3 linked regions of the Rattus norvegicus genome follow. The protein of the gene in region 1 purifies or fractionates together with the protein of each later gene. This does not show direct contact. Links are inferred from orthologs where the notes say so. Each region holds a gene or a part of one and is shown in the gene's direction. Other genes may lie near its edges. The genes, in order: Dnajb11, Sdf2 and Sdf2l1.

Region 1 (9,948 bases):
GGTATTCCGAAAAAAATGAATCTAGGAAACAAATGGGTGTTGCTAATTTAGTATCTGACAAAATATATTTCAAACCAAATCTATTCAGAAAAGATAAGGTCACTTTATATTGACTAAGGAACAATCAATCAAGATGTTACTATTCCAAATCATATTCTCCAAACACAGGTCACCCAATTATATAAAACGGATACTACTATAAATAGACACAGATGGGGCTGAGAAGATGGCTCAGAAGTTAGGAGCACTGGCTGCTCTTCCAAAGGATCCAAATTCAATTCCCAGGATCCACATGGCAGCTCACAACTGCCTGTAACTCCAGTTCTGGGGGATCTGACTCCCTCACACACATGTATGCAGGCAAAATACCAATACACATAAAATAAAAATAAACAAATGAATTTATCAGAAAGAATATATATATATTTAAAAAGACATAAAATAGACGCAGACACAGATTATCTCTAGCATAAGAATGGGTGAGTTTAAGACCCCACTCTCACAGGTACACAGACTATCCTGACAACAAATAAACAGATTTCAACAGCATCCTATGCCAAACAGACCTACCAGATATCTACAAGCATCCCACAGTCTTCTCAACATCTCACAGAACATCTAAGATACAGCACATAACAGCACACAAAGTAAGCCTTAACAAATCCAGGAAAACTGAAATAATCTCATGTGTGTAATCTGTCACCAAGAGATAAAACTAGAAACTCAAGAGGAGCTACAGAACACACACACACTAACTCATGGACACTGAACAACAACGGGGAGAGGACAGTCTAGGAGCTATGGCTCAGCTGTCAAGAGCATACACTGCTCTTGCAGAGCACCAACGTCTGGTTCCCAGCACCCATGTGGGTGGCTTACAACCAACTGTAATTCTAGCTCCACGAGATCTCACAGCCTCTTCTGAACTCTGAGAACCCCTGTATTCACACGTTCATATACAAAGACACACACATGCACACATAACTTTAAAATAATAAACCTGACAATCTTTAAATCAATAGACTAGAATAAGATAACCACAACATACCAATGCCTAACACATAATGAAGGCAAGGCGGGAGATGAGAGCACAGTCTCTCTTACTCTTTCAAAGATTTTAATTTACACTTAGTTTGTGTGTGTGTGTTGTGTATGCACAGGTCGTGAGGTGCATGTAGAAGCCAAGGACAAGAGTCAGTTCTCTCTTTCCACCATTTGGGGGGTCAAAAATTGACCTCAGGTAGCCAGACTTGATAGCATACCACCTGAGCCATTTTACCAACCCTCTCCTGTTGTTTGTCTCTTTGTTTTGTGCTACAGACTAGCTGGCCTTCAAGATTTTGCCAGATCCCCTTTCTCTGCCTCCCACCTTGAAGTAGAAATGCTAAGATCACAGATGTGAGGCACCAACGTCTAGCTTTTTAATGAGGGTTTCAAGAATTGAACTCAGGTCCTTAGGTTTGCATGGTAAGCACTTTTCTCCCGCTGAGCATCTCCCTGTAACCAGGAAATAAATGGGTTCTACAAGTAAAGTGCCTACCTGTATTTTAAAAAAAACAGAGACATCACAAATATTTTAAAACTCACTTTAGGGTTTTGGAAAAACCTCAAGTAAGTGGGTGGAAAGTAAGACACCAAACAAGATCACGGTGGCAAGATGACTGCAATGGTCTATTTTTAGCGGTCAACTAGCCAAGCCCAGAGTCATCTGAAATAGTCTCGATTGAGGAATTACCTAGATCAGGTTGGTCCTGTGGCCATGAATGAGGAAGACTGCCTTGATTATTAACTGGCCCATTCCCCGGTCTGGGCTCTGCCCTGTGTACAAGGAGAGAAAGCTAGCAGAATTGTGAGCAAGTAGGCAACATGGGCACTTCTGTTTCTGCTCCTGACTGAATGAGGTATGACCAGCTGCCTCAAACCTTTGACACATTTCAACAATGACACGACTTTTTACCTAACCTAGAACTGAAGGACAAATGAAACCCTTCACCCCCCTGTATTTCTTCCTCCCTTTAGGTTATGTTTACTACAGCAACAGAAATGAATCTAGTACAAAAGCTCGGCACCACTTGCCACCAGGCCTGGCCACCTAACTCCATACTCAGGATTGACAGGCTGGAAGGAGGATGACAGCAGCAAGTTGTCCTCTGACCTCCAAATGCACACCGTGGTGCAGGCGTGTGCCCACACACAAAGTAAACAGGAAACTGAAGGGGGCATAGACATGAATAAAACTGAAATGAAAACCTATGGAGACTCCATGAGATGACGGGATCAACAAACCCTTATCCAACCCAGAGAGAAGCCCTAAATCAACAAAATCAGTGAGTGACGAAAAAAGGAACCATCACAAGATATCAACGGAATTCACATCTTCAGGAAAGCTTAAGAGAAATGGATAATTCCTTCAGGACCACAAAGAGATAAAGAATATAAACAACTGTGTAACAAGCATCAGTACCGAAGCAGTAAAACTAACTCAAAGCAACCACAAAAGCCTCACAACTACAAGGAGCCCAGAGTCGGTTTGAAGAATGGCCCCTAAAGGCTCAGATATTTGAATGCATAGTCACTAGGGAGTGGAACTCTTTGAAAGGAGTAGGATTTGAAAGGATTGTGTCCTTGTTGGAGTAGGTAGTCGGGGGAAAAGTGTCACAGGGGGGTGGGCTTTGAGGCTTCAAAAGGCCATGACAAATAGCTCTAGGTGTGTGCTCTGTGTGTCTCTGTCCCTCCATGCCTCAGTCTGTCTGTGTCTGTCTGTCTGTCTGTCTGTCTGTTTCTCTCTCTCTCTCTCTCTCTCTCTCTCTCTCTCTCTCTCTCTCTCTCTCTCTCTCCCCCAGGGTGTGTCTCTCAGCTACAGCTGAGTGCCTGCCTGCCTGCCACCATGCTCCTGGCCATAACATAATGAATTAAGCCTCTGACATTGTGAGTGAACCCCAATTGAAGGTTTTTTAAAAATAAGAGTTGCCTTGGTCATGGTGTCTCTTCACAGCAAGAGAACAGTGACTAAGACAAGCCCAAATAGCCCAGATAAAATCACTGCAAAAATCCACCTTTAGGAAAAACAGCACTATTTTTCAAAGTATTCCATTAAATAACTTCTTGAAAATGAAGTCAGTTTTGGTCTACTACTAGTACCAAAGACACAGCAAAGAAAAGACAGTTAGAGACCTATCTCCCTAATGAACATGGATGTAAAAATTCTCAATACAACACTTGTAAGCCAGACTCAGAGGTTAAGAACATTTACTGTTCTTCTAGTGGATCTGGATCTGATTCCTAACACCCACATGGCTGCTCATGTCCATCTGCAGTTCCAAGGGATTCACCACCCTCTTCTGGCCTCCTTGAGCAACAGGCATGCATTCCAAAATAAACCTTCTTTTTCTTTTTAATTAGAAAAGGGTTTTTGGCAAAACATCAATGTTTGTTCCAGTACTACTCACAATAGCTACATTACAGGATTAACCTAGGAGTTCAACGGCAACAGAATAAAGGGAATTAAGCCAGTCTCAAAGAAACACATACATGTTTTATCTCATTTGTGGTTCCTAGATTTTATATAGGTAAAGTCATATGTGTGTATATGGCAAAGCCAAACTGCCTAGAGAAACAAAAAGAGTAACAGAACAGAGTGGAAAGGATGAGAGGGCATAATATATGCATTATTCAGTTTGCTTGCACAAGAAAGTACCATATACAGTGAATATACACAATAAGAAAGTTTTAAAAGGAAGAGAGTTGATTTTTCTGGAACATGCTAAGATATTTAATATGTGAGGACATATACCATTAAATTAGACAACCTTGTAAATTACCATAAAGTTAGCTAGCGTTTTACTTTGAGTGCAATGAAGAGCCACTAAAGCTTTTAAGCAGAATGGCATGATTTGACATAATTTTTAAAAAAGTGAGCGGACGCTGGGGACAGTTCAGTCCATGAAGCTTGCCACTTACATGCCATACAAGCAAGGATTCTTGAATACCCCCCCCCCAACCCCGTATAGCAACTGCGACAACAATGTCCTGAAGAGACGGAGACAAGATTTTGAGCTCTCTCGTCCACCAGCCTAGTAATCTGTGATCTCCGGGTTCCCTGGTGTGCTCACGCGTGCACACAATCATAGGGTGGAGAGCAGAATTTTAAAATACTGTATGGAGATATGAAGTTTGGCGGCAGAAAGATCGGTTATACGACCTTTGCGAGCAAGAGATAACTATGACTCGGGTGGAACTATAGTGGATGTGCACCCCGTACGGTTCACTGGTAAAGATCTGAATAGGTTATGCAGGAGGTAAAGCTGAGCAGAGAGGCTTTCCGAAACTAGTTTTCGGAGATAAACAAAACTGGAGAAAAGAACAACCAATGAACAAGCTCTACTCCTAACAATAATAATGCCTTTTATTGATTACATGCTTACTGTGTGCAACTCTGCTAGGAAACTAACAGAAAAAAAATAATTCAATTAATTCCCAACACTGCCAGCGAACGCTTTGCCTTAGTTTTGCCGAAAATAGGTTCGAAAGTGGGATGGGGATGGGGTTGCCTCACCGCTACGGAGTGCTGGAAGCTGAATCTGAACTTAAGTCGGTCTCCACGGCGGCGTCTCTACAAGGTACCAGACCTCTTTTCTACAATATCGAGACTATAATAAGTTTGTACTGTGAGAGCCTATCTCTATGCAAGACGCCCCACGTACTTTGACACCTCCTGGGGTTGCACCTCCGAAAGCAAGCGCGCGTCACGTGTGCACATGGCGTAGTTTCCAGACTGGTAACCACGTAAGGATCTCTCTCAAGCAATTGGTCGGAATCGGGAAGGAACCTCGTGATTGGTGGACATTCCGGTTTCCTACAGCAGCGCGCTCTTTCTCCGCTCCTCTCTCCGGTTCTAAGGCACTTCCGGGCGGCGCGAACCTCTGACGTTTCACTTTCCCATTGGCCGGCGGCCCCCCGGCTGCAGTTCCGTTGTCTGACTGGCTGCCCGCGCCGCCTCGGAGGTGAAGTGTATCGCTCTGATTGGCTGCGGCGTGGCGGCCTCGTGTGATGTCCCAGGCGGCGATTGGCCCACGCCTGGCTGCTCGCCGGCTTTGGGGCTCCCGGAAAGTGGCAGCTGAGGAAGGGGCGCACTACCTGTCTCCGCGGCCAGGCAAGAGAGAGACCCGGGCGTGAGGCGGCCTCCTTGGGCTGGAAAGGCTGGTCAGCCGACGCAGCGGCACGGGAGGCTGAGAGGGTGGGACCAGGGGACACCATGGCCCCGCAGAACCTGAGCACCTTCTGCCTGTTGCTGCTGTACCTCATTGGGGCTGTGATCGCCGGGTGAGCAGGGGGCCTCCCGCGCGGCACGGGGACCGAGGGGGCAGCCTTTGCTGATAGTGACACGGGTGACATCGAGGCGTGAGGGAGGAGCACTGCGGGGCCGAGGGACCGAGGGGTAGTGTGGGTCAGGATGGCCGTCCAGGGCCAGGTTTCCCCGCCCCCGAGAAGAACGGGAGTTGGTTGCAGAGCCAAATACCACGTTTGGGAATTAGAGGGAGTTAAGTGGCTGTGAGCAGTAGTAGGGACACCGACGACTGAGGAATGGGACTCTTGATGGAAATGAAGGTAGTGAGTGCCAAGCTGAGGTTGAAATGATGGATGCGTCCTTGATGCCCGAATTCCAGAGTGGGACAGTTTGCGACAAGCATCTGAGAGGCAGACACTAAAGTAAGGAAGCCGAGCTTAGATTGAGGAAAGCTGGCCTGAGAGAGCAACATAACACTTTAGAGAGTCTTCGTACTCGCAACCTTCTTGGGCTAGCGAATCTGAACTGTCTTCTTGCCTCGCTGTCTCTCTTCATGGTTCCTTCTTGAGCTGGATGGTATGAGTGAGAAGAACAGTTCTCTTAACAGTCAATAAAAACTAGGGTTCTAGCCTCATGCCGCTGTTATGAGTCCTACAAGCATGACGGAACTTTATCAATTTTCTGAAATCGGGGATAACAGTGTGATAACCTTCAGGGAGAAAGAGCAGGCTTAGAGTTTCTCCCAGCATAAAAGACCCGGGGTTGGGGATTTAGCTCAGTGGTAGGGCGCTTGCCTAGGAAGCGCAAGGCCCTGGGTTCAATCCCCAGCTCCGAAAAAAAGAACCAAAAAAAAAAAAAAAATGCAAGACCCAGTAGTTCTGATGACTTAGGATATGGTATATTGGACTTGTGTGTGACCTGCACCGTTAGTCCCTGCTTTGGGCGCATGAAAACCGGTGGATCAGAACCCCAGATCATTTTCAACTACCGAGTGAGCTCCAGGCTTGCCTGGCCTATGTCACACCCCCTCTCAAATAAATAAGTAACCACAGAAATAAAACACACCAAAAGCTCGTAGATGTCAGCTTTTGACAATTTATAGGTTGTTCACAATGCTTAGCATAGCTTTTAAAGTTGCTTTCTTTATGGGGTTTTTCTTTTTTTTCTTTTAAATGTTATCATTATTTCCTTGTGGTATACTTTAAATTTCTAAAAAGTTAACATTTCTTACATATGCTTTGTTGTTTTTTTTTCCTTGTTTGACTGAACCACAAGTACCCAAGGTATTTAATAAAACATCAAGGTAAAATTTTGCGGTTGGGAGTTGAGGTGTGCTGGTCTCCAACTCAATATGTAGCTAAAGATCACCTTGAACTCCTTCATGATCCTTCAGCCTTCACTTCCCAAGTGTTAGGATTGCAGGCATGAATGACCATGCCTGGCAAATGCTAGTATTTTTGATACTATAGCTTTAAACGTCAGTCATTCATAAAGCAGCCTCTGGGGAGAATGATGTTGACACTGAACTGTGTCACACACCCCCTCCCCTTTTCTCTTGTATTTTTCTGAGCTGTCATTTAACCTATTCCCTCTTAAATCTTTTACTTGTTCTCATACACATACATATATAACCCCCCCCAAAATGCTTGCTCTGGGCACACCCCAATATGTTCCCTTTCTAACTTCATGCAAGTGTGAGTCCAGTTAATCAGTGCTGCCCGCTGGCATGGTGACTAATTGTGTTGGCTTGCTCTCTCGAAGGTCTTGTTCAGGTAATCATAACTTGAGTGAATTCATGAGTACCATTTGCAGAAGACAGAATTTCACAACACTCTTCCCCATCCTCTGCCTTCACATTCTTTCTGTTCCTCCTTCCCCTGAACCTTGGGGAGTGTGGGAGAGGGGTGGAAGGTTGAAATACTTGTTTTGAGACTGATCTCTCAATACTCATTTACATTCTCCATGCTTTTTGAACAGTTATTCTGATGCATTAACTACTGCCCCTGTAGAGGAACTACTGCCTCTCTGTGCAAGATTGAGAATGGCATGAATATAACAACATATATATATATATATATATATATATATATATATATATATATATATATGGCATACTTATGTTACAGTCCTATATATTTCCATATATAGTCATATAATCTATGAATATAATCTGAATATTTCCAAGGCAGTTTGATAACATGTCTACTTAACGAAACAACAGCAGTTAGTTCCCTCTCCCCCAGGGCCTGTGGTCCCCCAGGCCAGGACTTCCAGACAGTTTTATATTATTAGATTTAAATTTACTCCTGTGGAGCAGGTCTTAAATCCAATCAAAAAGCAGTAGGTTAACCCCATAACCTTTCTGCCTCTGTTGTACCAGAGGTGCATCTTGCCCACTTAGTCAGCATTGGGGACTTTTCTCAACAAGCAGCCTGCATAACGCCTTCTAGCACTGTGAAAACTGGCGAGGGGGGAGCAATGACAATGGCCTCTGTTGTTTTGGGAGCCTCCCTGACTTACAGTAACTCATAGGGAGGTTTCCCACCCCTGGCACTGAGATTTTTGCATTATATGTGCATAGAATCTATGTATTCTAAGGGAAGCATCCACTCATGCGAGGTACCTGTGTTCAGAATCCTTTGTCTCTGCTTGTCTCTCCATCTGTCTCGCTCTAAGATTTTATTTTTAAGTACATGTGTATGTGTATGTATATATGTTTGTGTGTATATGTTTGTATGCATATGTGTGGGCATGGACCTGTAAGTGCAGGTGCCCATGGAAGCAAGAAAGGGTGTTAACTTCCCTGGATCTGGAGTTTCAATTGCATGCAAGTCACCATGCGTGCTGAAAGCTGGATTCAGCTCCCCTGTAAGAGAAATAGGAACCTTGGGGTGGGGGTGGGGTGGGGGTGGGGGTGGGGGGTTTTATGTAGGTTTTGAATCAGCTTGAAAAGTAGTGGCTCTCCTTTAATTGGATTCTTTTAACATCCTTAGTTTCGTGTAACCCACTCCTCTCCAGAATTGGAGTGTTGTGTGAGCCTCACTCTGTGTTGTTAGCCGTTTTTGTCATTAGAAGGCTGATTCCTAGCATGAGATGTCAAGACTTTAGAGATGAGGTCGACTTCCTGGGGGTGATAAATGTTAAAAATGCTGTAGTTGAGCTGGGACCCAGCACGTGGGAGGCTGAGGCAGGCAGATCTCTAGTTTGAGGCCAGCCTAGTCTACAGAGTGAATTCCAGGACAGGCGGGACAACAGAAAAACCCTGTATTGGAAAAAACAAAAACTTGTGTATAGGTGAGCTGAATATGACTTTATATGTCTGTAAATTCAGCATTTGAGAGGTAGAGGCGGGAAGATCAGGAGTTCAAAACAAACTTCAGATACATAGTGAGTTCAAGGCCAGTCTGAGCTACATGAGGACCTGTCTAAGAAAACCAACCCAGAAACCTAACAGAGTGATTAAAATAACTAAATTACTGTTGGAAAGTGTGACCAGGAGTTTATGAAATAACCCCAACCTTCTGAGTGCTGGAATTATAGGCATGCGACATCAGGAATCCAGGACTTCATGGATTTAAAGCAGGCACTGTCACTGAGCCACGTGCCAGCCATAAAATGTATTTTTTAATATTCTGCCTTATGTCTTGGCTCCCGGTTCATTTCCCCATACATTTTTAAATTATCCGCCATGCTATGTCAGCCTCTATTATATGAGTTCCCTAGCCCCATTGTTGAGATAATATTTTTAGGTTCTATTCTAGTTTTAGGTTTGAATTCTAGTGGTTGAACTTCTGGCAAAAAGAGATGTGAGCATTCTTATATGTTCACCTTACTCAGAGGGCATTTACTGGCCTCTTCAATGAGCTGGGTACGGCCCTTGCCTGGAATGCTTTTTATAGTCTCACTCTAGCTTTCTCCCAACACTTCTTGCAGAGAAAGAACCCTTTTATGGTTGATTCAGCATAGCTCCTGGCAATATTCCCTTATTTTATGCCCTAATTTATATCATATGAATATTCTCAACTACAGTGATACAGAGGCTCCTGCGTGTGGACTTTAGAAGATGTCTGTCATAAAGACTTGATCCTAACAGATTAGCATAGTTACTGGCAATGAATGCATAAAATGTATTTTTCTCCCAGCATATACCATAATCATTGCATCCAGATGTGTGCTATTTTCCCTTCAGGTTTATTATTTGGAGTTTGCTTAATCTTTATGAACTCCTTAGGCCAGTCCATCTTTAATGTCCAAAAGTGCTTCTATTTAGGACATGTATGTGATGTAATCTTTGTGAATAAGGATAACTTTCTTTTTTAATCATTTGACCCTTAGAAACAGGTAAAAGTCACTGGGGTGGGGCTGGAGAGAAGGCTCAGCAGGTAAGGGCTCTTGCTGCTCTTAGTGGAGGACCCCAGCACCCACGCGGTGACTCACAGCCACCTGTAACTACACATCCAGGGAGCCAGCTTTAACTGACACCGAGGGACCTGCACTCACACCCACACATGAGCTCATAATTAAAAATAAAATAAATTCTCTTTTAAAAAAGTATTTGGAGCAAGAATAGGGAGTAAAGAGGGAGCCAATTGGACTGTTTGGTTGTTAGCTGGAAATAGCATGGAGCTATAAAGCAAAGGAAAAGTTTCTCTGCGGAAGGT
Region 2 (9,699 bases), on another chromosome or scaffold:
ACTTTTGTACTTAGTACTCACAGGCTTCAAATTAAAGATTGTGAGTTAAATCTGTATCTGGAATAGGCTTTGAAGAAGAACAGTGGCAGGCAGAGGGAGGTTTCTCCAGGAGAAGCCCGCTGCAGTATAATATGTGGCTCAGAGGGAAAGGGTGCTGGTTACCATGACAACTCTGCAAGAGTACTAGAGCTGGGATCAGATTGCCACAGGGGAGGACTCAGCAGTCCCTCCTTTCCAACCAGAACTAGTAGGAGGCAATTAAGAGGAGACCGGGCTGAAGAGAGAATTAGTCTGTTAACTCCTTTTGTTTTGAAGCTTCAAGGAATATTTAGATTGTGCTTGTTTGTTTTAGGGTCATACTCTGTTCTGGGTCTTGGTGCGTAAAACTGAATGTAGTATGTTTCCTCACTGGTGGAGTTCATAATTTTCATAAATTACATTATGGTAAAACACAAATGAGGGTGGATTATATCTCAGTGATAAGACAGGACATTTGTATACCATGCACAAAACTCTTTGAAACAAAATCCAGTAATTAGTGATGAGAACAATACGCTGACAGAAGGCCTGGACTTCAGAAAGGGATGCCTGAGTGAGCAGGCCTGGAGTACCTTCCCACTTCTGGGGTGCTTAATCAACTAAAGAAGGTGGGGGGGGGCAGGATTAAGGCAACATGAGCAAAACACTTAAGTTTATAGCCCATCTAGTCTGCTGTGGAGTTTAACACATTCTGCTACTGTGAACTAAGTTCAGGCTTATTTCAAAGGTACCAGTAAGTGACTATTCATTTGGAATGCAAAAACCTTAACGTCAAAAACAAAAGTCTCAGAACCTAGCTACATTTTAAAAAATTCTGATCTCAGAACTTCTTATGAAAAACCTAATTATAGGAAATTAAGGTATTTAAAATATAAGCTGGGGGCTGGTTAGATAGTTCAGCAGGCAGAAATGTTGGTCATGCAAGCCTGATGACCTCAATCAGACCCCCAAACACACAGAAAGGTAGAAGAGCTAACCCACAAAGCTATCCTTGGGCTTCCACATACAGGTGTGCTCACGCCTACAAAACAATCCACACTCTCTCTCTTAGGTATAGAACCCCAAGTCTCCAGCACTTGGCAAAACTTCAAGTTAGAAGCAAACATGGGCTACACACGGAGACCCTGTGGCAAACTAATAAGAGGACCATGAGATCTTCTAATAGAGAACTCAATCTGGTTTTGAAAAAGTGCATTCAAATAGACTTAGGCGGGAGCCAGGCATGATGGTACACACCTTTAATCCCTGGACTCAGGAGGCAGAGGCAGGCAGATGAAGGGGAGCCTCATCTACAGAGTGAGGAGTGATCAGCAGAGGGTAGGAACGACTGCTTGGAGAGACAGCTGGTTGAGGTGTGGAGTGCCTTCTACATAGCATGCATGACCTAGGCAGCAACAGAGGAAGTCAGTCTGACCAGAGAGAGGAAGGGGGATGTGAAGAAGGCTTAAGGATCTTCAAAGACTGTATGGGAATCTGAGTGGAAACTAAGGAGCTTGGATCCAGGACTTATGGGCAGTATCCTGCTAGGGTTCAGTATTGGTTTGATTAGTATGATTATATTTTTAACTTTAACCTTTGGGGAATGAAGAACTACCAGTATGCCTAAGAAGTAAGCAGCACAGTTTTGGAAAAAAGTTGATGCAAACCCCCCCTCTAGCCCCCCCCCCCCCCCCCCGCAAAGGCCAGGGAGATGACTCAGCCAGCAAAGTGACTGCCACACAAACTGCACACAGAAGGACTACATTAAAATGCAGTAATGTTTTTAAGACTAAAAAGGAGGCGTTAGCTCAGTAGAGAAAAATCCAAGGACAGAGCATTAGCAACTGTACTGACTATTCCAGAGACTCAGAAATGAAAACAGAGTTTCCATTGGATTTGGCAACATAGTAGCTTCTGGTGACCATATCAACTTTGATGAGCAGTTAGAAGGGGAGTCAGATTGGTTTTAACTTAAGCTTCGGTGAAAGTTAAGAAAGTTGAACTGGTTTATAAGCTGAAACCTGACTATAGGATGAGAATTTAAAAATTAGGGTGATGGAGCTAGGCTTAGTAGTAGCACATGTTAATCCTTCTAGCACTGGGCAGGCTGAGGGCAGAGTGACCAAGAGTCCTAGGTCAGCCTATGTGTCAAGAAAGATGATGGCTGGAGTGGCCTTTGAAAGATATTAGGACATAATTTTGTTTTTGAGTTCTTTGAAACAGGTTTTGGTGACTTGAATTGGGAAATCACTGGAAGGAAGTCAGTGGTCATACCCAACCAAGACCGTGGTTGGTGACATTTATTAGGACCAAGAATACTGCTGGATGGTGGTGGCACAAGCCTTTAGTCCCCAGTTCTCAGGAAGCAGAGGCAGGCAGATCTCTGTGAGTACAAGGACAACTAGGAAGAGTGCTCCTGTCTTCAGAAACAAAAAAGAACTGGAGAGGGTAATATAAACTTTGACCGAATGTCAGGACTGTTCTACTTTATGGTGAGATTAATCACGTGGTAAGAGTAAGTGCATTTGGAGAGTATGGATACTTTGCCAATCTAATCTGATCTAATAGCCACACATGCCAACCAAATAAAATAAGGTGGTAGTAGTGGTGGGACACTAGGCATGGAGAGGAGCTCTAAATTCATGGTTGAGGAGAGAGCTGTTTTTCTTTGAGACAGGGTCTCAAACACAGCCAAAACTTCAATTCCATGATCCTCCTGGCTCAGCTTCTCAATTGTTGCTATAATTGTTTTGTAATTAAAAACACTGAAGATTTAAAAACTGTCAAGTTCAGTGTTCAACAATGGAACTGAACTTTCCCTCCCCAAAATTAATTAAATTCAACAAATTCCCCACAATGTAGCATCTTTCACTGCTGGGGAGGGGGCCAGGCTCCTTCCCTTCCTGCAGATTTACAGGCAGTTAACGGTTGCTAGGGGGGAGGGGCTCATCACGAGATCCCACCAATCCTAAGGATTTACAGTAATTCATTGTTGCTGGGGGGAGGGGAACATTTTCTTTAGGGTTGTAGTCCAGGCTTCTCTGAGTAATTCTTCACCAATGTACTTGTAAATAACCATAATTTAGCTAATGGAGGCATACACACATAATGAACGCAATGGAGGATTGTGAAGAAGGGGGTCAGCGGGAATGGAGCGGGGTGGAGGAGGAAAAAACAAATTACCCTATAACTTTTGATATTACGGTGACATTTCATGTAATTATTATAGGAAACCTGCCTCCTAAAGGAAAACAGGCGTCAATTTTTTCTGTAACACAGGGAAACTGCTTTACTTAGATATTTTGAACGCCTGATGTCAAGCAAGAATACACATTTCTGATTTAACAACCAATTCTAATATTTATGGTAGGTCTTTGGAAAGTGTTCGAGGAAATGAATTATGCAGGATGGAAGGCTCCAGGTACTTAAGTATAAACTCGCATCTTTTGAAAGTATTAAGGGACTTGCCCATCCGTGGGGGGTAAAAAGTTCAATTACTCAACAGTTTTAAAAGAGCTAACATTCAGCACAGTACACCGGCCTCATGGCTGAACCATAGTAAGCCCGGCAGGATCCAACGCCCGGACTAATTAATCCGATCACCTGATGCCAAGTAAAGAAACCCTTAGGTCTCTTCTAGTCCAATTTTTTTTTTTTTTTTTTTTTTTTTTTTTGGCGTGGCCCAGATTCCTGACGCCGCGGAGAAGATGGGATCCCAGAAAGCCTGTTGATTCAAGAGGCAACCCCAGGTCACAGGTTCCGGGTGGTACCGCGTGGAGAAAGGGCTGGAAACTCTGAGTAATCACGGCACTTTAATGTCCTTTTTTCCCCGGCAGATCAGGGAAGGCCAGGGCCCCCTTCCTTTCCGCAGTGAGCACCCCAAAGCCTCTTCCCTTATGGGACCAGGCCCCAGGAGTCTGCTCGCCACCTGCGCACACACACACGCAACACACTCTTCAGGCTGAGCTTTACCTGCTTGGAAGGCCGCTGTTTCTCCGCTGCGCTAAGCCCCCGCGGAAGAAAATGGAGTCGCCGATCCGAGACTGCAAAAGGGTAGCCCGGACCCACCGCAAGGGCCCTCCGCAGCCGCCGCCACCACCACCGTCGCCGCTGCTGCGTTAACGTCCTACGTCACCTCCGGCTCCCTGTCACTAGGAGTGGGAGGGTCATTTCCTGATCTTTTTCTCTCCGGTGTCTAGGGCTTTGGTTCCGAGTCCGCGAACGCAGACTGAAGACACATAAGGAACGCAGCTGCCACAGAGCACCCAGAACAAAGCGGGGCCAGCGTGTTCCTTAAGCCGCTCTAGCCAAAGGAACCATAAAGATTCAGGTTAAGGAGTCTTCACTTCCATCTTGGCGTAGTTCTGCCCTTGGCTTCCGGTTCCGGGGAAGGGCCTAATTTTCTTGGATGATTAGGGCTCTCGGATCTAGGATGGCTGTCTTGTCGCTTCTGTTGTTGGGTGGTTTGTGGAGCGCTGTGGGAGCGTCCAACATGGCTGTCGTTACTTGCGGCTCCGTGGTGAAGCTACTCAATATACGCCACAATGTCCGACTGCACTCTCACGACGTGCGCTACGGGTCAGGTACAGAGGGGGACCAACCGGGGTTGGGTGGGCTGCTTGGGCCCGGTGAGCCTAGAAGGGGCGGGGCCTCTGGCTCTGAGGGCGTGGTCTTGGAAAGTTGAAGAGGAGGAGGCGTTGCCAAGGAAACTTAGTCCTAATATTAATTTCTGTTTGATGAGCTGATGAGCTATGTGCCAAACGTGTTACATATTTACTTTCCAGTTTTTAACATTGTATTGAGGATAGATACTAAGGTTACTTTCTTAGGTGAATAAACAGACTCAGAGATATTACTCAGCCGTCAGCTAATGAATGATGGAGGCAGGGTTTAATCCAAGTCTGTCCAGGTTCAAACCTTTCAGATTCCATGGGCTGCCACTATTCTGTGCTGGAGAGGAACATTTAGAGCAGGACAACACACGCTGAATCTCAGATTTTAAACTTGAAGAGCTCACTCTGATTACAGCCCTTTGACACATTTTTTTAAATTACTTAGCAGTAACTTCCTTGTAAAAAATGTAAGCGTTGACAGGCATTGCAGAGGAAAGTGCTTTTTATCGTGTGCAATTAAAATTCTCAGTTATTTGGGGGCTCATTCATTTGGCCTAGATTTAAAGAGCTCTTTTATTTACCTAGTATTGTTCTAGACACAGGAAATACAGTAGTGAGTCAAACAATAAAACAAGACTAATGGGCAGGCGTGGTGGCCTAGATCTGTAACCATAGCATTCTGAAGTCTGAAGCAGGAGGATCAGGATCATGACTTCAAGATCAGCCTGGCCTATATAGTAGGGGCTGTCTCAAAACAACAACAAAAGAAGTTCAAAGGCTGGGTGTTAAGAGTATGCCAAGCATACTGAAAGGCCCCAGCTTCTGCCTCCACATTTTGTGGGAATAAAAGTAATGAAGTTCTTGAGGTGTACTCAAGATAACTTGAATGACTGATGATCCTATTTGCTAGAAAGGAAGTCACCTTCTAAGATGGTTGCTTAGTCTGTGTTCGCAACTCTCAAAACCTGTCCTTCCAGTTTAGTCCAGGGAGTGTATAGTCTTTATATTCCTAGCCACCTCATTCAGTAAACACCTACATGTGTCAGGCTTACTACATTTTAATTTAATGTTTCCTGCTTTGGGTCCACCAAGTTAAAATGGCGTTAGAGAGAAGTCTACCAGACTTCAAACCTCTACAGGTGGTCCCTAGGGGTGGGCCATTGTTCATTCTGAACCTTAGGAGAAGAATCTGTGATACAGAGTTAGATACAATATTCTTTTAAAAATTTGGCTTGTTTGTTTGTGGCTAGAGACAGTCTCTCTAGCCCTGGCTGTCCTAGGCTTGGAACTCAATATGTGATCTGACCGACCTTGAATGCACAGAGGTCCTACCTCTGCCTCCCAAATGCTACAATGAAAGGCTTTAATTTTTTTTTTAATAGCATTTATCTTGTGTGTGTGTGTGTGTATTTAGATGCATGGTTGCCACAGTACAAATGTGGAGATCAGAGAAGAACATTGTTCTGTCCTTGTCATGTGAGTCCTAGGGATTGAACTAAGATTAGCTGAGCCATGTTATAGCCCAGATACAATTTTCTTGTTTAGAAAATGGTTGAAGATACATGAGTAGATCAGATTGCTCAGCATGAGCTATATGGTTCTCAATCTGAAAACTAACAGTTAATGTTTCTTAAATTACTATATCTGGATCTCCAAGTATTTAGGAACAGATCAAAGGCCAAATAGAATTCTGGACATTCCTAGGTATCAGGAGGTCTCTGGAGGAAGTAGAGGATTGAAAAAGTAAAAGGGCTGGGGAGATGGCTCAGAGGTCAAGAGCACTGTGCTTCCAGAGGTCCTGAGTTCAAATCCCACCAACCACATGGTGACTCACAACCATCTGTAATGGGATCCGATGCCCTCTTCTGGTGTGTCTAAAGACAGCTACAGTGTACAGTGTACTTACATATAATAAATAAATAAATTTTAAAAAAGAAAAGAAAGTGAAAAATCAAAGAGACAATCAAAATATAGAAAACAGTGCTGGAGAGGTGGCTCAGTGGTTAAGAGTACTTCCATAGGTCCTGAGTTCAATTCCCAGCAACCTCATGGGGCTTCACAACCATCAGTAATGGGATTCGATGCCCTCTTCTGGTGTGTCTGAAGACAGCTACAGTATACTCATATACATAAAATTAATAAATATATCATTAAAAAAAGTATTTGATGCTCTTGCAAAGAATCCATGTTCCAGTCCCAGCATCCACATGGTGGTTATCTAACTCTAATTCCAAGGGATCTGACTCCTTCTGACCTGTGGGCACAAGAATGCATCTGGTGTTCAGACAGGCAAAATACATAAAAAGATGAATAAGTCTAATAAAAATAGTTTCTTCCGGGCAGTGGTGGCTCATGCCTTTAATCTCAGCACTGGGAAGGCAGAGGAAGGCAAATCTCTGAGTTCCAAGCCAGCCAGGCTACATAGAGAAACCCTGTCTTGAAAAAAAACAAATAACAACAAAATGTTTCTTTAAATGTATAGAACAGGACTGAATTCTGATGGAGCTGAAAGGCGATAAGAAGTGGGAAGAGCTGAACCAGGTGCCATAAAAGCAGATGGAGCTCCATGAGTTCTAGGCCAGCCTAGTTAGTCTACATAGGAAATTCCAGGCCTGCCAAGGCTACCCAGGTCAGACCCCGTCTCAAAATATAAAATTAAAAAACAAACAAACAAACAAACAAACCAACCAGAGTTTAAAAGATGTAACAATGACATGGGTTGAATGGAATAAGCCTGGGAAAGGGACTGATTGCTTGGTCCGTTTATCAGATCATTAGTTCAAAGCCTGAGGTTTTGTTATTTGGTGAAGTCAGGCAGGGCATTGGAAGTGAAAGGCCATCTAGGAGGGAAAGTATCTCTGGAGTAAGTAGACTGTAAGAATTTGACAGAAAATAGAATGGAGAAGACGCCCTTTGGACATGATGTGTTAGAAGAGGAAATGCTCTAGAGTCAGGTTACCTGCCTCAGGCTTAGCCCAGTCATAGCTCCATGACTTTGGGTATATTACTCACCCTTTCTAACACTCCAGTATAAAGTAGGGACAGTAACAGTAGCTATCTGGGAATAAAATGCCTTCGTTATGGAGAATGAATATTTAAGTAGGGCAGGAGAGCTTTAGTCTTACTATTCAGGAGACAGAAAGAGACAGGATCTCTGAGGTCAGCAGCTCTACCTAGTGAATTTCAGGCAAGCCAGTGCTACACAGTGAGACACTGTCTCAACAAACAAAAATCTATCTTAGCAGCTGGGCTGTGGTGGTCCATTCCTTTAGGAGGCAGAAGATCTCTTTGAGTTCCAGGCCAGCCTAGCAGAGCAACTTCCAGGACAGCCAGGGCTAGGGAAACCCTGTCTCAAAAAAACAAACAAACGGGGTTGGGGATTTAGCTCAGTGGTAGAGCGCTTGCCTAACAAGCGCAAGGCCCTGGGTTCGGTCCCCAGCTCCGAAAAAAAGGAAAAAAAAAACAAAAAAAATAAAAATAAATAAACCAAATCATTTAAATGAAGAACTTGGATTAGCCCTCTTGGGGGGATGGTTTTGTACACCATATATTCAGATGCTAATTTCCATGCCCAGACATCTGGTTGCAGTCCTCCAGTTTCAATGTTATGTAAAAATTGTTTTCCATCACCTCTGATTGGTTAATAGAGAGCTGGTTCAGCCAATAACTGGGCAGAAAAAAGAGAGAAGGCAGGACTTCCTATCCCAGTCAAGGGGTCCCAAAGAGGAGTGGGGGGGGGGGGAGCAGAAGGTATGAAGAGACCACAAGGAGGGACCAGGAAGAGTGGCCATGAGAACGCTCTTGGAGCAGAGTGAGCCTGAGTAAGACTTGGATCACAGGTGAAAGACCACAAGGCTGGGAAGTAGCTAAGTTAGCATAGTAGAATAGATGACATTCTGCCTAGTTAAAGGCTTGCAGTCTTTTAATAAATTTATTAGGATCCATGTCATTTATTCAGGAACTAAAAAGGACTAGAGTGGATGAAGAAACACCTGTCCTTATTTGGGAGCAAGAGGGGCAGAGCAAATCCGCTGATTACTTTTACATAGCCCCATACCTGGTGACAGTGCGTTTTCCTTTAAGAGCTACGGCTACACATTTTACTAAGTGTTTTCACCATGAAGAGTTATATAATCTTAGTATGGCTACAAATTCATGTGATCTAAGAATATTTTATTCCTGGCTTTTTGAGACAAGGTTTTACTATACAGTCCTAACTGGCATAAAACTTGCCAGAGGACAGCTTGGGACATGCTGGCGGTCTCCTGCTACCTCGGATCTTCAGGATTGAACTCAAGTATAACATCAAATACCTTTAACCTCTCAGCCAAGTCATTGTCTCTTTTTATGCTTTAACATTTTTTTAATTAATTTAGATTTGTGTATGCACTAGGCGTGGTGACACACACCTTTAGCCCCAGCTCTCAGGAGGTAGAGGTAGGCAGATCTCTTAAGTTCAAGGCCAGCAGCCTGGTCTACATATGAAGCTCTAGGAGCTGGGACTACATAGAGAGACCCTGTTTTTAAAAAAGAAAATTTGTATCTGTGTGTGTATGTGCATGTACTCTTGTTTTTTCAAGATGATTTCTTTGTGTTAGTGAGCGAGTCCTGGCTGTCCTGGAGCTCACAGACATCTGTCTGCCTCTGCCTCCCTGTGCCACCATGCCTGACTCCCTTTACACTCTTTACCTGGTTTATGGAACTCCATGTTTGGTTGTTAGGCTAGTGTGGCTAGTAACTTTTTCCCACTAAGCCATCTCCCTGGCCTACCTCTGTGTTTTGGGGCACAATCTGTCGCAGACACCTGGGGCCCATCAGTGTGGCTACGCTGGCTGGTTAGTGAGCTAAAGGCTGGCTTGTGCTGCCTTCCCAGTGCTGGGATGACAAGAGCAGTCCACAATGCCCATCTTTTTTTATGTGGGTTCTGAAGGTGGAGCTTAAGTAATCAGGCCTGGTAACCAGAAAACAACTTGCAGGAGTCATTCTCTTTTCCTGTGTGGCTCTGGGGATGAATTTAGGCTGGGGCCGAGGTAGCCAGCCTTGGATATCTCACTAGTCCTTCACACAC
Region 3 (9,894 bases), about 5.7 Mb from region 1:
AAGAGGATCCCCACTGGAAGCTACTACCTAGCAGCTCCTACAGGCACCTATTGGGCCTGTAACACTGGATTGACACCTTGTATCTCCGCCGCAATCCTCCGCAGATCCTCAGACTACTGTGTACTGGTAGAAATTTGGCCTAAGGTCACCTACCATGGGCCCGAGTACATATACTCACATTTTGAGGGGCTGACTCGATTCAGGCGAGAACCAATCACCATGACCCTAGCTCTACTCTTAGGAGGAATCACCTTAGGAGGAATGGCTGCAGGTATAGGGACGGGGACCACCGCCCTCATCGAGACGGGTCACTTTCGTCAGCTACAAGCAGCCATGAATGCAGATCTAAAAGCTATCGAGGAATCCGTGAGTGCATTAGAAAAGTCCTTAACATCTTGGTCTGAAGTAGTCTTACAAATTAGGAGAGGGCTAGACATGCTGTTCCTTCGCAAAGGAGGGCTATGTGCTGCTCTAAAAGAAGAATGTTGTTTCTATGCAGACCATACAGGATTAGTGAGAGATAAATAACATGGCTAAGCTCCGAGATCGCTTGGCCCAGAGACAGAAGCTGTTTGATTCCCAACAAGGCTGGTTCGAGAGGTGGTTTAACTGATCCCTTTGGTTTGCTACCCTGGTGTCCACCTTGATGGGACCCTTAATCATCCTCCTCCTAATCCTCCTCTTTGGCCCCTGCATTCTAAACAGATTGATGCAGTTCATAAAGAACAGACTCTCAGTCATTCAGATGCTTGTTCTCACCCAACAATACCAGAGGGTAAGACAACAGGAAGAGATTCCTTAGAATTCGATTTGAGTAAAGGATTTTACTCAAGTCTAAAAGAAAATGGGGGAAAATGAAAGACCCACCCCATGAGTCTTAACTCAGAGCTGCAACAGGCTTGAACGAGCCCAGGCACGCCCAGATACCTAGGGCCGAGTCACCGTTAAAACTAACAGACCATAAAAGGAAAGGAATACAGAACAGACTAGGAGTACCGGATCTGGCAGGAAGGGATAAGCCCCTAGCCCCCGACATTCAGGACGTCCCAGCCCGCACATACTCTTTTACCATGTTACAACCTCATTCGAATATGATTCAAACCTGCCAATGTGTGTAGCTATACCTTATTACCTCATCATGTGAAATAACCAATCATATGTGAACATGTCTATATGCCTCGTTTAAATCCACCAATCCCCGTAACTATGCATCTGCTTCTGTACGCCCGCTTCTGCTTCCCCAAACCCTATAAAAGGCCCATGCTGGAGCTGCTGGGCGCGCAAGTCCTCCGAAGAGACTGTGTGCCCGCAGGTACCTGTGTTTTCCAATAAACCCTCTTGCTGATTGCATCTGAGTGGCCTCGGCTTGGTCATTGGGCGCTTGGGGTCTCCTCCTGAGGGAAAGGTCCTCTCCGGAGGTCTTTCACCAGTCTGAGCTCAAACAGGGAGTATGAGGCTCTTGAATATGAACCTGAAGAGAGACGCTCAGCTGAGGGACCACCTCACATCATGGGCCTGTGGAATTTTCCTGATTCCTAATGGATGTAGGAGGGACCAGCCCTGGGCAGGTAGTCCTGGGTTGTATAAGAAAGCTGACCAGGCTGGGCTGGAGAGATGGCTCAGTGGTTAAGAGCACTGACTGCTCCTCCAGAGGTCCTGCATTTCAAAGAATAAAGATTTTTAAACTATCCCCCACTACCCCTGCTGTGAGGGCCAGTGCACCTCACAAAAGAATAACATCACATGTTATGGGGAAGTAGCCTAGCCGTAGACCACCTGGCCTCAATAAGGCCTGACTTACCAGTCCTGAGGAAAAAGAGTTGGGGTCAGCTTGCCCCAGAAGCAGGGTGGCCTGGAGTTGGACTGAGCCCAAGCTAGATCATGTGCTCCAATGTAAACAAACCAGTGAAATTGCTTTGCTTTGTGTAACTGTTGCCAACTACCTATGTAATTTTCCCTATAAATACTTTCCCCAAATTGGGCTCCGGGTCGACTCCTCTGTCTCCTGTGTGAGATAGGTGTCGTCCCCAGAGCTCTGGTTCCTCAAATACACCTCTTGTTCATTACATCAAGACCGATTTCTCGTGAGTTCTTGGGGGTTGTGTCATCTCAAGATTTGAGTGGGGGGTCTTCCCCACCCCGCTGGTCTTTCAAGGTCAAATCCCAGAAACCACGTGGTGGCTCACAACCATCTGTAATGGGATCTGATGCCCTCTTCTAGTGTGTCTGAAGACAGCTACAGTGTACTCATATGTAATAAATAAATAAATGATTTTTTAAAAAAAGAAAGAAAGCTGACTGGGCATATAGTGGTAAATGGAGGAATATCTTTAGTTCTAGTACTTGGGAAGCTGAGGCAGGCAGATTTTTGTGAGTTCTACAGAGTGAGTTCCAGAACAGCTGGGGCGGCATAGTGTATCTTTGTTTCAAAGACAAACAAACAAACGAAACCAAAAACCCCAACAAAGCAACAGTGAACCAAGAAAGCTAACTGAAACCTGATGTGGGGATTCGCCCTCAGGAGACAGAGGCAGGAAGATCTTTGGGTTCAAGGCCAGCCTAGTCTACAGAGCAAGTTCCAGGACAACCATAGCTGGGACCCTGAGAGAAAACAGAGAGAAACCCTATCTTGAAAAATACATAAATAAAACAAAGATCTGAGCACACGAAGAAGCGGGCAAGCTGTAAGTGGCCCTTCCTCCATGCTTGAGTGTTTTACAACAGCCACAGAAAGCAGGTGGTTTCTAGGCAGGTGTACTTACAGAGAGATTTCCTGTGAGTCTGGGGTGGCCTTCGTGAAAGGCTGTCTTTCTGGCTGAGCCTTCTGTAAGTTACTCTTGTCAGACATACCTGCACAAGGACCCCCTCCTTCTCAGCCTCATACCTAACACATTAGTTTGGGTTAAAGCCTTGACAAATGATTCTATTTTGATTCTAACAATTCTGACACAGCTTACTTAGAAACCTGAGATCTGCCTGTCACCCTTCCAGAGAGGATGACCTCAGACTTGAACTTCCTGCCTCTACTACTTGAGGGTTGACTTGCTAATGATCAAACCCAGGGATTTGCACTTACTGGACAAGCACTCAGTCAGCTGAGCTACATCTGCAGCTGAAACATAAACTTTAGTGGGTAACTAGTGGCCTAAGTACATATCATCAGCTTCTTAGTAATGTAGCCTGGAGGGGCAGTTCCTTTGTGAATACCTAACATCTAGGTGGCTGGCTGGCTGGCTAGAGAAAGATAGACAGATAGATAGATAGGGAGTGAATGTGGGTAAGTACGTGTATGTAGTAAGTATGTATGTGTATGTATGTATGTATGTATGTATGTATGTATGTATGTATGAGGGCTCACAGTTATCTTATCCAGCAACCTTAGGATTCTGCCACTAAATGACTCAAGAAGCTGCTTGGCTAAGAGAATTCAGAAAGCATGGAGCCAGGAGATTTTAAATAACTTTGTTATTTGTCCACTTTGAGACCACAAAATCTCGTGATTCACACAGAGTCTGTAGCTTTACCCAGGGTTCTGAGAGGAGGGACACGCGACTCAAGTGTAGGGGTCCAGGGTCAAAGGGGTTCCCGTACCTACTACACCCGAGAATCTCTAACGGGGACTAGAGGCAACCAACCTCTGGGGGACGGTCGCCTCAGCCACTGCTTTATTGGCAGGTCCTTGGAAGCGTGGACCAGTTAAAATCCTCCTGCTGTCTCCGGCCCCCTCCCAGCTACCGCCTTGGAAGCTGGGGGTGGGGCTGCTGCACATGATCCAATAGTAGTGCAGGAGGAACGCGCGCGCGCAGACGATTGGCTGCCGAGGGAGGGCGCTGTCAACGCCGGATTGGCTGCTGTTGAGGACGGAAGCGCCGAGGTCCAAAGCAACTGGAACCCGGCCGGCCGGCACGATGTTGGGCGCGAGCCGCGGGTTAGCGGGTCTGACGCTGCTGGGGCTGCTGCTGGCGCTCTCGGTGCGGAGCGGTGGCGCGTCGAAGGCCAGCGCCGGGCTAGTGACCTGCGGGTCAGTGCTGAAGCTACTCAACACCCACCACAGAGTGCGGCTGCACTCACATGACATCAAATACGGATCCGGTGCGCAGGGGTGGTGACTGGGACCGCCAGGGGGCGGAGGCTTAAAGATCAGGTGGTTCTAGCGGGGTCTGTGGGTTGTTAGGGAGCCGAGGGGTTGCGAGTCTAGACGGGCTTTTGGGTCTTGACAGAGAAGCCGCGGGGAGTGAGGTTGCGCGCGCGCGCGCGGTGTGGGGGGTATCCACCACTTAGGGTCCGGCCTGGGGTAGGGTGAGCCCTTCGGATCCTGGAGTGGTAAGGGGCTGTGGGGAAAACTTTTTAGTGTTCAAGTCGAGGGTCTGGAGGTTTGTGATTAACTAGAAACTACGGGTGGGGTGGGCTGTCCCTCTTCAGGCAGCGGCCAACAGTCGGTAACCGGCGTGGAGGCGTCCGACGATGCCAATAGTTACTGGCGGATTCGCGGCGGCTCCGAGGGTGGGTGCCCGCGCGGGCTCCCAGTGCGCTGTGGGCAGGCAGTGCGGCTCACGCACGTGCTCACCGGCAAGAACCTGCACACGCACCACTTCCCGTCACCGCTATCCAACAACCAGGCAAGCCCTGTTCCGAACCCCTCCAAAGCTGCGCAGGGCAGGGACTCAAATGACAGCGGGAGGGAGGTGTGCCGGAGAGATGTAGGGGGAGGGATTCAGTCTCAGCTACTGTGAATTGGGAGTTCATATACGGAAGTTTATAGAGCTTCTGCTCTGGGTCCTGTCCCAAGGAACTTCCCCTACCGAGTTAGGAGAAGCATTGAGAGAAGTCAGTGCGATGAGTTCCTATTTGGACATGTAGGGGGACCCACACAGCAAAGAATAGGAAACTGCAGGAAGGAGAAACTCAGGTTGGGTCTGAAAGAGAAGTGAGAGCTTATCCCTACTCCTGCTAAAACATAGGCCCCATTGCAGCTGGTCTGGTAGGGTTATGGGGAGAACCTGACAGTGCTTTGGGGGAGTTTCAGGGGGAAATATTGGAGATAGGGAACTTGGCCATTAGCCTGGGAACTTGGGTATAAGGCCAGTGGGCACTACACGACTGATACAAGAGGCTCTATGCATCTGAAGAACCTACCATGGGGTGGGAATCTTTTTTTTTTTTTTTTTTTTTTTGAGAACAGATTTCTCTATGTAGCCCTGGCTGTCCTAGAATGCACTATGTAGACCAGGTTGGCCTTAAACACCCAGAGATCTGCCTGCCTATACCTCCTGAGTGCTCTGCTTAAAGGCATTTGCCACCACACCTGGCTAGGGCAGGACTCTTGGCTTCCATTTGCTCAGCTGTGGGTGCTGAATGTCAGAGAAAGGACCAGAGGCCCAGGATACTAGGTGCACATATTACAGCTAGACATGCAGCTCAGGGGAGTCTGTTCCCTGTGTGTGACTTTCTATACCTTACACTCTCAGGAGGTGAGTGCTTTTGGGGAAGACGGTGAGGGTGATGACCTGGACCTGTGGACAGTACGATGTTCTGGGCAACACTGGGAGCGAGAGGCCAGTGTCCGTTTCCAGCATGTTGGCACCTCTGTGTTCCTGTCAGTTACTGGTGAACAGTATGGTAACCCAATCCGTGGGCAGCATGAGGTGCATGGCATGCCTAGTGCCAATGCACACAACACGTGGAAGGCCATGGAAGGAATCTTCATCAAGCCCGGAGCAGATCCCTCCACAGGTCACGATGAACTCTGAGCCGGATGGGAAGGGAGGGTGGCTGAGTGGGAATCCGCAGGGCTGCTCTTGTGTAAGACTCTGTAGGGGCCCTCAAGTGCCTTTCTGATTAAAGAATGTTGGTTTGTGATTATTTTTGCTGTACCCTGGGGAGGACCTGAGGGTGCTAGTCATATCTGTCCACATCATCATCTCACATGTCTCAAGTACCTGTTCAAATAATTTTTGAGACCGTCCCACTATGTATCCCTGGCTGGCCTGGAACTCCCAGAGATCCACTTGCCTCTGCCTCCTGAGCGCTGGTATTAAAGGTGTATACGACCACAGCTGGCCCCAACCTGTTCAATAAACTAATTTTTATTACAGTGTGAGTGCATGAGATGTGTGTATGTTGCTACCTGTACCTCAGTGATGCGTGGAGGTCAGAAAACAACTCTGTCGCTTCTCACCTCCTACCTTCATGTTGGCTCCAGAGATCAAACTCAGCCTGCCAGCATTACACAGCACACACTAGCTGCTGAGCCATCTCACTGGTTCCAAACCTTTTTGGGATACCTGTCCGTGCATTAAAATATTGCCCTGAACTGTGATCTCACCTGTCTACCCTACAGAGTCCTTGTAGCAATCAACCTCATTTCCAGGACTTGATCTTAGGCAACGTTTCTATTGGACGGGCTTGGCTGCAGGGCCCTGACAACTGGGATGGGGCTCAAGCTCTCCAGTTCCCTCATCTCCTGCTCTCAGGAGCCCATTCTTCTGGTGGTTGTGGCAGTTTTGAAACTTTTCTTTCACTAAAGGCCAGTTGAGGATTCTGCCTATCTAGTGGAAATTAATACCTCAGGCTCCCAGACTTCCTTACCCTGACCTGCCCCAGGTGCATTATTAAGCCCCCACTAGGACCTCCCAAGGCCCTAAGGAAAGAGGAGAGCTAGGAGAGATGACTCGGTGGTGATGAGCACAGACTGCACTTTCAGAGGACTATCAACTACAACCTGTAACTCCAGGAGGGATTGTTCAGATCTCTTATTCCTGCACATGTGTACACAAACCTAGAGGGACACGTGTAATTTTAAAAGAGTAAGAAAGGACATCTCAAGGGAAGACAACCTCCCCCTTCTGAACAAACAACAACAACAAAACCAATCTAGGTGGTTAAGGTTGTATAATTTAAAGACAAGACCAGAGGACTAGGGGATTGAGTTGTGGAACAGTTGGTAATTGGTATGTTTGAAGCTATAGAGAGCATTTTCTAGCATGTACAAGGCACAGGGCCCATTTCCAACACTAAAATTGGGTAAAATAATGCACATAATGTATATAGTTTAAATAAGCTGACACCAACAGAAGGGCCCACGCCAAGTAAGCTGACAGCTCTGTAGTGGTGCGTGTGTGGCCTCTAGAGGTGGTGGAAGAAATGACAGACTGCCTGGGCTTGGCTGAGCAGGTCATAAGGACTTCAGGGAACTAGTAGAATGATTATTAGTACTAGTAGTTAGTGGTTGATTTCCTGAGGGCCAGAAACTCCTAAGAGGCTGGGCCGACAGTTGGAGGAGGGACTTGGGATAGTGTGAGAAGAACAGAGATCACATGGACTTGGGAAATCAGTTGACTATTAATGAGTGGGTGAGAGAAAAGCTGCAGTTAATTTGAATCCTGAGGGGAGGGAGTTATGCCTTGGACCATCACTCCCCTATTCCTAACAGACCTGGTCTTTCCACTGACAAACTTATATTTTTGAGACAGATCTTACCATGTGACTCTGGCTGGTCTGAAACTCACTATATAGACCTGGCATAGTGAACTCATAGAGATCCACCCTCTGCCTCCCAGGTACTGGGATAAAAGATGTGTATCTCTGTGCCTGGATGTATTGCCAAACTTTTAAATGTTTATTAAATTGTGTGTGTGTGTGTGTGTGTGTGTGTGTGTGTGTGTGTGAGAGAGAGAGAGAGAGAGAGAGAGAGAGAGAGAACATGCACACAAATGTGGTGTCCTCAGATGTAAGAAAGGGGTGTTGGATCTCCAGGAGCTGGGATTGCAGATGACTGTGAGCTATCTAGTATGGGTGCTAAAAAAATTTTAAAGATTTATTTATTGTATGTGAGTGTACTGTTGCTCTCTGAGGACACACCAGAAAGGGCATCAGATCCCAGATGGCTGCGAGCCACCATGTGGCTGCTGGGATTTAAACTCAGGACCTCTGGAAGAGCAGTCAGTGCTTTTAACCACTGAGCCATCTCTCCAGCCCCATTTCAATTCAATTTTAACAGCTCTGCAAGAGCAGTACTCGATTTTGACAGCCATGCAATTGATCTCTCCAGCCCTCAAACTCTTGAGCTTCACGTAGAAATCTGCAATCCTCTCCTCTGAGAGGATTTACATGGAAGTGGATGATTAGGAGGGGATTTCAGTAAACAATGTGTAGAGCTGTGGGGCTGATTGAGGGGAAGCTGCATTGTGGGAAGGGTCCACCCTATCACTCAGTCTTATTGGGGGAAGTCTCACTAAAGTCATACCATCTGAAAGGAATGGAAGCCAGGATAGGCACCCAGCGAACATCTCTCATTGGCTGAGGGATGCTGGCTGGGTTCTGTAGTATTTCTTACTCCATGTATTGGATAAGGGTTCCAGCAGCCAGAATCACAAGTGGGCTGTTCTCTCTGCAGAAGAGCCAAGAGGGTTTGGGTGGGGCACTCCAGCCTCGATATATGCTGTCCATGCAAGGGGGTATTGCTATGGTCCACCCAGGAAAGCAGCGAGGCATTAGAATGTGGATTAAGGAAAGAAGTCAAGTGCACAGCAGGTAGGAGTCCTGGGTATCCAATAAGATTTTGGAGCAGGAAAGTTGCTTCCATGAAGAATATAGAATACGACAAACCAAGATCCGAGGAGCAGCAGCTGGACACTTTAATTTTACATTTGATTTTTATCTTTATGTGTATGGGTGTTTTGCCTGCCCATATGTCTGTGCATGCAATGGCTTTAAGAGACCAGAAGAGCAAGTCAGAACTTCTGGAACTGGAGTTACAGATGCTTGTGAGACAACATGTGGATGCTGACATGGGACCTGAGTCCTCTGGTAGAGCAGCCCACCCTGTAAACACTGAGCCTTCTTTCTGGTGAGGCCCCTCTCCTTAAACACAGTATTTCATGTAACTCAGGCTGGTCTTTTCCCCACTTCCTGAATGCTGGGATTTCTGTGTGTTTTGTATCTGTGTGGAAAGGTACAGTGTGGTGGCTGCATCCCCAGCACTACAAAGACCCAGGAGGATTACCACAAGCACAAGACTAGCCTGGTCTACTCAGTGAGTTCCTGGCTAACCAGTGGTATATAATGTCTCAAAAAAACAGTGCTCTGAGGGACCGAGAAATGACCGGTCAGTGTTAAGAGCATTGGTTGCTCTACCAGAGGACACGGGTTTCATTTTCAGCATGCATGTGCTTCCTTACAATCCTCTGTAGTCCCAGTTCCAGAGGATGAAAAGCCTTCGATCTCCCTGAACGCTAGTCATGTACATGGTGGTACAGACACCCGCGCGCGTGCGCGCGCGCGCACACACACACACACACACACACACACACACACACACACTACATCTAAAATAAAGTGGACAAAATGAGTTTCTGAAGATTGAAAACCAGCTCTGTCTGCTTTTTTTTTTTTTTTTTTTTTTTTGGTTCTTTTTTTCGGAGCTGGGGACCGAACCCAGGGCCTTGCGCTTCCTAGGTAAGCGCTCTACCACTGAGCTAAACCCCAGCCCCAGCTCTGTCTGCTTTAAACATTTTTTTTTTTCTCAGCCTTTTAACTGGGTATAAAGATTCCTGTTTCACGGGGTTGGGGATTTAGCTCAGCGGAAGAGCGCTTGCCTAGCGAGCGCAAGGCCCTGGGTTCAGTCCCCAGCTCCGAAAAAAAAGAAAAAAAAAAAAAAAGATTCCTGTTTCACGTGGATATAACTGGGGCTAAAACACAGATGCCAGCCGCAAAACTGTATTTTTCCCTTCACCAACATAGACCTGAGTAGAGCTCCTCAGGTTCTGGGTGCTAGGTGGTGTGTATCTTTGGACTTAACAGCTCAGAAAGGTCATTTAATGAACTGACTCACAAAGTGGTTCACATTCTCAATGGCCTCAGGTCTCTACAGCCCAGCTGGAGGTTTCCTGATGA

Evidence for each region.
Region 2: the proteins of Dnajb11 (region 1) and Sdf2 purify together in Homo sapiens (affinity purification with mass spectrometry; 3 studies listed by BioGRID and IntAct, counting the BioPlex papers as one, with this or other methods). This does not show direct contact. The link is inferred for Rattus norvegicus from reciprocal best matches to the Homo sapiens genes DNAJB11 and SDF2.
Region 3: the proteins of Dnajb11 (region 1) and Sdf2l1 purify together in Homo sapiens (affinity purification with mass spectrometry; 3 studies listed by BioGRID and IntAct, counting the BioPlex papers as one, with this or other methods). This does not show direct contact. The link is inferred for Rattus norvegicus from reciprocal best matches to the Homo sapiens genes DNAJB11 and SDF2L1.

Annotation. Positions count from the first base shown.
Region 1 is NC_086029.1:91,667,927-91,677,874, reverse strand, and holds the start of Dnajb11 (dnaJ homolog subfamily B member 11 precursor), read left to right. Parts: upstream 1-5,074; 5' UTR 5,075-5,254; coding exon 5,255-5,322; intron 5,323-9,948. Other genes in the region: Tbccd1 (TBCC domain-containing protein 1), read right to left, coding at 4,704-4,759. UniProt on the Homo sapiens protein: As a co-chaperone for HSPA5 it is required for proper folding, trafficking or degradation of proteins.
Region 2 is NC_086028.1:63,634,472-63,644,170, forward strand, and holds the start of Sdf2 (stromal cell-derived factor 2 precursor), read left to right. Parts: upstream 1-4,162; 5' UTR 4,163-4,426; coding exon 4,427-4,601; intron 4,602-9,699.
Region 3 is NC_086029.1:97,373,024-97,382,917, forward strand, and holds Sdf2l1 (stromal cell-derived factor 2-like protein 1 precursor), read left to right. Parts: upstream 1-3,854; 5' UTR 3,855-3,908; coding exon 3,909-4,092; intron 4,093-4,422; coding exon 4,423-4,619; intron 4,620-5,468; coding exon 5,469-5,750; 3' UTR 5,751-6,097; downstream 6,098-9,894.